Linked DNA regions of Cricetulus griseus. The protein of the gene in region 1 purifies or fractionates together with the protein of each later gene. This does not show direct contact. Links are inferred from orthologs where the notes say so. Each region holds a gene or a part of one and is shown in the gene's direction. Other genes may lie near its edges.

Region 1 (3,314 bases):
ACTTAGCCGTGTAACACTCAAAGACAGCAAAGGAGGACTGATTCCTAACTTCACGGTGTGCTTGTTTTTCTGAGATTCAATTTTTCTTCATTATACCCATTAAAAATTATTTTGAAAGGTCTGAGTGATTCTACTTAGGTTTTTTTTATATATATCTTTTTCTTCTTTTGAGACGAGATTTCTTGGGGGTAGCCCAGATTGAGTTCAAACTTGGCACCCTCCTGCCTTATCTTCACAACAGTTGAGAGTGGCACCACACACAGTGCAGTTGTATTTGTTTTTAAGTATGATTCTCATGTAGCCCAGGCTGACCTCAAAGTCCCTATGAGGTCAAGAATGATCTTAAATTCCTGATCCTCCTGCCTCCACCTCCCAAGTGCTGGGAATACAGGCATGTACCACCATGCCCAGTTTATGTGGTGCTGGAAATTGAACTCCAGGCTTTGTTCACGTATGGTAGGCAAGCACTCTACAGACTGAGGAGTATACCCAGAACTAGGAGGTGTTTTTATTCAAAGTGCAGCAACTATCTTATTTAGGATGTTCTACTAAATTGTGCAGGACTGTCACTTTTTTCCCATCCTTTACTGAACCTTTATATTTTTAATAAGTGCATTCATCTTTATTACTAGATTTTAGGCCTAAAAACACATTGTTCATGTTTGTGTGTAACAGGACAGCTTGATTTGGATGAAGTTCAGACACACCCATACTATTGTACAGAGGTGGGAGACATCTTCCAGAGCTGGAAGCTGAATACATGCTCCTTGATTCTTGAGGAACATTCCGGAACACATAAACAGGTATTTAACTATGTCTCCTAATTTCATCTTTCGAATGGTGAAGGTCTTGAATCCCACCCACTGATGGGGCTTTGGGGTGGAGAGAAGGGGTTTAAGCTGCTCCCCTAGCCCTGAGTACAGTGAGCAAAGAAGGGGGTCCAACAGAGTGGGGTGGACAAAGGTGCAGTGGGAGTCATAGCCCTTGGTCCACCCCTAGCTCCATTCCAAACCACAGTGTGGGTGTGTCCTGGGAAGTAGAGGTCTGCGTAGTAAAAACAAACCTCTGTTTCCGTAGGCGTCCTCACCATCTCGCTGTGTGACGACTTTCCAGAGTTTTGGGTGCTAGAGTGAAAACCACCTCCTCATTGACTGTAGAGACAAAGTGACAGAAACCGGGAGAGGCTGGGTCGAGCAGTCATTCCAGGTGCTTCACAGTGACAAGAGTCAGCACCACACAGCTGCCTGAGGCTCTCAGAAACGGCAGCAAACCCACTGCAGAGCCACGGGGCTGGTAACTGCAGCCTACCCTGTCCACCCAGCAACCTTGCCGTGGGTCCGAAGACACACAGGAAGTGCCTGGTTCTTGACACTGAGTAAAAGGACAGAGCGTTGGTCCGCAAGGCTCTGAGCTACTTGGGAAGTGAGCCAGGCAGGCACTGTGTGCAGAAGCATACCCTAGGGCGATGGCAGTGGCACTGTTGGAGGAGTGGTGCAAGATAATGAGTGTGAGCGATCAGAAGTCACTGATGGTGACTGGCATACCAGCCGACTGTGGTGAGCCTGAGATCCAGGCAGTCCTTCAGGAGGCGCTCAAGTGTGTGGGCAACTACCGCCTGCTAGGCAAGATATTCCAGAAGCAAGACAACACGAATGCTGTCTTACTAGAACTCGTGGAGGACACAGATATGTCTGTGGTCCCCAGTGAGGTGCAGGGGAAAGGAGGTGTCTGGAAAGTGATCTTTAAGACCCCTAACCAGGACAGTGAGTTTCTCCAGAGATTGAACCTTTTTCTAGAAAAAGAAGGCCAGACCATTGCAGGGATGTTCCGAGCCCTGAAGCAGGAGGGAGTGTCTCCAGCTACCCCAACCTGCACATCCCCTGAGTTACTGGCCCACTTGGTGGGGCAGGCAATGGCTCAAGCTCCAAGGCCTCTGCAGCCTGTGAGGTACTGTAAGTTGCGAGTATTCTCTGGGAACACAGTACCTGCCCCGGAGGAGGAGTCCTTCGAGATCTGGTTGGAACAGGCTACTGAGATAGCCAAAGAGTGGCCCATCCCAGAGGCAGAAAAGAAAAAGTGGATGATGGAGAGCCTCCGCGGCCCTGCCCTGGACCTCATGCACATCGTACAGGGAGACAACCCATCCATCAGTGTGGAAGAGTGTCTGGAAGCCTTTAAGCAGGTGTTTGGGAGCCTGGAGAGCCGTAGGAGCTCGCAGGTAAGATACCTAAAGACCTATCAGCAAGAAGGGGAGAAAATCTCAGCCTACGTGCTCCGGCTGGAAACTCTGCTCCGAAGAGCCGTGGAAAAACGGGCTATTCCCCGAAACATTGCTGACCAGGTACGCCTGGAGCAGGTCATGGCCGGGGCCAACCTCACCAATGTTCTATGGTGCCGGTTACGGGAGCTGAAGGATCAGGGCCCACTACCCACCTTTTTGGAGCTGATGAAGGTGATACGGGAGGAAGAAGAAGAAGAGGCCTACTTTGAACATGAGAGCAGGGAGGAGCCAGGGGAACGAGAGGGCTATGGCCGCTGGGACAATTCGAGGAACAACTGAGAGACACCCCTACTCCTGTCACCCCCTGGTGAGCATAGGGACAGTGCTTGATGAGGCTAATCCTATTACAGTGGAATTTTTCTCTAATACACAGGATTGAAGTCAAGCATTAGAACCAGATATTTTCTTTTTTCTTTTGTTTTGACAGGGTTTCAACTTATAGCCCAGGCTGGCCTTGACTTGCACTTTTCCTGCCTCAGGACTCCCAAGTTGAGTTCTGGGATTAGAGGAGTATACCATCACTAGCACCCCATCTCAACTTTTCTTTCTGAGAAAAAAAAAAATGCCTAGACTCTGAGTAGAGTGGTTTGGTGGACTCTTAAGCAGAGTGTAACTGAATACAAGACTAAAGGAACCCTAACATTCCAAACTAACCAAAACGTAAGAGTTAATCCAGTTGGGTAGGTCCATCACCTGGCTAATGGACTGCCCACCAGGAAGGCAGATTCATCTAACTCCATGCTAAAGACAGGGGAGGAATAATTATCCCCTTAATGAGATCATGTACATTTCCTTCCCAGAATCCCTGCTATCTGTACAGTCACTACAGAGCCACCACAAAACGGAACTTTCACTTTTTCTTTTCTTTTGCCTGGGGCCCAAGCCTAAATAAGCTTTTTCTAGTACTTCGGGCTTTTTCTTCTCTTTAAATATGGCTGCTTGCTAAACCTCTACCTAATTCAAAAAGAAAGAAGGAAGGAAGGAAGGAAAGAAAGAAAGAAAGAAAGAAAGAAAGAAAGAAAGAAAGAGAAAA
Region 2 (3,873 bases), on another chromosome or scaffold:
TGTGCTTTGCCTTCTGTATCCAGGTTGTAATGGCTGGATAAGATGAGCGGTGTGACACATTGTATCCGGGTACAGGTGAACCCCCGATACATTGTCATTAGTTAGGCAGAGGAGAGGAACACAGTTTAGCCCCCTGGATGTGGCTGGTGACTGCCTGCAACACGGGCACAGGTCCCAGACCTCATCGGGCTGAAACTCTCCTGTAGAGAAGGGGAGGCTGAGCAGCGTGGAAAGCCTGGCCAACAGTAGGAAGCCACTGAGAGGGGAGCCACTGACGGTTCTCGGGATGGCTGTGGGGTGGGGTGGAGAATGGTGGCTCTTCTACTCTTACCTAACCTGCCCCCCTCCCCCTAGTCAAGCTCTTTGAGGTGATAGAGACAGAGAAGACGCTGTACTTGGTGATGGAATATGCCAGCGCAGGTGAGGCCACACCCCCACACCCTGCTCTCACATACCCCCTGTACCCCCGTGCCCTGTGCTCACATACCTCTGTACCCCCATACCCCCTGCACCCCCACACCCTGCTCTCACATACCCCTGCACCCCCCGTGCCCTGTGCTCACATACCCCCCTGCCCCCTGGCTCCAGCCCTGACCCCTCTTCCTCTCCATCTGCAGGAGAAGTATTTGACTACCTCGTGTCCCATGGCCGCATGAAGGAGAAGGAGGCCCGAGCCAAGTTCCGACAGGTGAGAGACGGGGTTCCCCACCCCTGGCTCCTGGGAAGAGGGTCTGGGTGAGGGCAGAGCGGTGTGCCCTGCAGATGCGTGTACAGGGGGGAGGGCATGCAGGGACTCAGGTGGGAGGGGGCTGTTGGGGACCTGGGGGTGCGAGTGACAGAGTGTAGATGCGAGGGCGGGAAGATGGGAAAAGTTCCAGAATATGTGTGGCAAAGCTGGGGTGGTCCCCCACCACTCGAGGGTGGAGCCAGGGATCAGGAGCTCAAGGTCATCCTTGGCCACGTAGAGCTCGGGGCTAGCCTGGGCTATCTATATAAGACCCTGTCGTGAAAGGGAAGGAGGGAGCGGAAAAGGAAATGCTCGGGAGATGGCTCAGTGGACACAGCACCTGCTGAGCGAGCCAGGGGCCCAGAGTTTGGCTCCCTGCCATCCGTGGGGTGGGTGGGCAGAACGGGCACCTCCATCCCTAGGAGACAGACGGGCTCGCTGGGGCTGGGTAACTACAGTAGCTAGATTGGCACGCTCTGGCTTCAGCAAGGGAGACACCCTGCCCCGTAAATACAGTAGAGAACAATTGAGGAAGGCCCCATGTCAGCCTCTGGCCTCCGCACGCACGCGCACATTCACTGACACGCACGTGAGCATGCAGAAACACACGTACACAGTCCCGTGGAAGATACAGAGAAAGGTGTGTGGATCCTTGCCGAGGTGTGTGTGTAGGCGTGTGATCCTGCACGCGGTGGAGTGCAGGGTGCGGGTGGTGCTTGGCGGTGGCAGGACCTGCAGGTGCTGGTATCGGGTGTGTCATGGCGATGCCCCGGTGTGGAGGATTCCGCGGTCAGGGTGTGGACATTGGTGGGTGAGAGTGACTATCAGGTGAGAGGACTTACCAGGTGTGAGGTGACTGGGCGTGCAGGTGTGAGGCGAGAGGGGACGTGCAGGTGTGAGGCCCAGGTGTGAGGCCAGAGAGGACGTGCAGGTGTGAGGCCCAGGTGTGAGGCCAGAGAGGACGTGCAGGTGTGAGGCCCAGGTGTGAGGCGAGAGGTGCAGGTGTGAAGAACAGATTCAGGGTAAAAAGATGGTAGCTGTGAAATTTGAGAGAACAGGCGTGAGCGCTGTCAGCATGTGTGGCCTGTGGGGGGGGGGGGCGCCACTATATTTAGTATTGGCCCTTTATGTAGGGTAAGCACCTCCTTCAGGTGCTTTTGGGGGTCAAGATATTAGCTGTGGCGACTTGGGCCCACACACCTGTTTCCAACATGGTACACTTTGGGAGTTTCCAAACATGGGCTAGTCCCAAGGGGCTACAGCTGTGGACGTGTGAACGCGCGCGCGCGCGTGTGTGTGTGTGTGTGTGTGTGTACACGTGTGTGAGCGTGCCTGCCCGTGTGAGCGTGCCTGCCCGTGTGAGCGTGTGTGTGTGTGTGTGTGTGTGTGTGTGTGTGTGTGTGTGTGTACACGTGTGTGAGCGTGCCTGCCTGCCCGTGTGAGCGTGTGTGTGTGTGTGTGTGTGTGTGTGTGTGTGTGTGTACACGTGTGTGATCTCACTGTCAGGGTGCTGAAGTTTGCCAGGGTCCCATAGGGCCTCAGCTTGTGCCCAGGGGAGGTGCTGGGTGTGGAGGTCCCCTGTGGGTGGTGGCTCCATGGGCTGCTGACTGTCTTCTACCGTAGATCGTATCCGCGGTACACTACTGTCACCAGAAGAACATTGTACACAGGGACCTAAAGGTAAGCCCCTCCCACTGTGACCCCAGGCACCCCAGCCCTGCCGCCCGGTACCCAGGCTTCTTCCCAGGCATTTGTTGCATTGAGGAGGTGGGCTGACATGGGTTGGGACCAAGTGTCCTGATGGCCTGAGGACATCAGGGTGAGATACGCTATCAGCCTTCGGCCTTCAGTGCCTGGATGTATCTCTGGCGTTCTAGAAACTGTGAGAACTTGACTTTCAGGCCCAGGTCACTCCACAGAGTCTTGGAAGCCCAGGGTCTTGGGGTGACACAGAGGTCACAGCACCAGCACCGGGGGATGCCAAAGCGACCCCTCGGGCTCAGGCCCGGCCCCGCCTCCTGCTGCGGCCTCTCTGGTGACTCCTAATCAAAGAACACAGACATCTCAGACCGGATAGCCCAGTAGGCTCCGTGCAAGCCCATCTGGGTCATCCTTTGCGAGCCCTACTATGTGCTGACCTGGACACTAAGGGCTTGAAGGACAAACTCTGCCTGAGGACTGGAGTTGTTTCATTGTCTTTGAGAGCCGGGGGTGGCTTTAGTGGATACAGGTGTTTGGCTTGCTGTTCCCATGCGTCAGCCTGTGTTCAGTGGGCGGGCACCTGGTGCCCACAAGGTGGAAGGAGTGAGAACTGACTTTATAGTTAGCCTTTCACCTCCACAGATGCGCGCACCCCCATCCCACTCACCGGTCATGTGCACATAATAATAAAAACAACAACAGAAACCCTGGGGCTACCTGAGTGTGGGGCGTACCTGTAATCCCGGAATTTGGGAAATAGACACAGGAAGATCAGGAGTTCAAGGCCAAGGGCTGTGAAAATGGTTTGTCATAGATTCCTTTGACACTTGCAAGGTCCTGGGTTCAGTCTCAGAAACGGGACAAAAGGAGATCAACGGGAGTTTAAGGCCAGCCTCCGTTACATTGAGGGGATCAACGGGAGTTTAAGGCCAGCCTCCGTTACATTGAGGGGATCAACGGGAGTTTAAGGCCAGCCTCCGTTACATTGAGGGGATCAACGGGAGTTTAAGGCCAGCCTCCGTTACATTGAGGGGATCAACGGGAGTTTAAGGCCAGCCTCGGTTACATTGAGGGGATCAACAGGAGTTTAAGGCCAGCCTCCGTTACATTGAGGGGATCAACGGGAGTTTAAGGCCAGCCTCCGTTACATTGAGGGGATCAACGGGAGTTTAAGGCCAGCCTCAGTTACATTGAGGGGATCAACGGGAGTTTAAGGCCAGCCTCCGTTACATTGTCTCAAAACAGCACCAACAACAAAAGCTGGGGGAAGTTGTGTGTGGTGGGTCTCGCCTGTAATCCCAGCTCTCAGGAGGATGACTGTAGGTTTGAAGACAGCCTGAGCTAAGATGCAAGCCTTGTGCCAGCTACAAGCCTGTGATCTCAGCACTTTGGGGGTGGTTGCCATGAGTTGGAGGATAGCCTGGGCTATGCGGTGAGATCAGTGC

What was found. The genes of interacting proteins can lie anywhere in the genome.
Region 2: the proteins of Pnma2 (region 1) and Mark4 purify together in Homo sapiens (co-immunoprecipitation; 3 studies listed by BioGRID and IntAct, with this or other methods). This does not show direct contact. The link is inferred for Cricetulus griseus from reciprocal best matches to the Homo sapiens genes PNMA2 and MARK4.

Annotation. Positions count from the first base shown.
Region 1 is NW_023276807.1:221,896,195-221,899,508, forward strand, and holds Pnma2 (paraneoplastic antigen Ma2), read left to right. Parts: upstream 1-1,465; coding exon 1,466-2,560; downstream 2,561-3,314.
Region 2 is NC_048602.1:27,909,340-27,913,212, forward strand, and holds part of Mark4 (MAP/microtubule affinity-regulating kinase 4), read left to right. Parts: intron 1-354; coding exon 355-420; intron 421-617; coding exon 618-688; intron 689-2,350; coding exon 2,351-2,407; intron 2,408-3,873. UniProt on the Homo sapiens protein: Serine/threonine-protein kinase. Phosphorylates the microtubule-associated protein MAPT/TAU. Also phosphorylates the microtubule-associated proteins MAP2 and MAP4.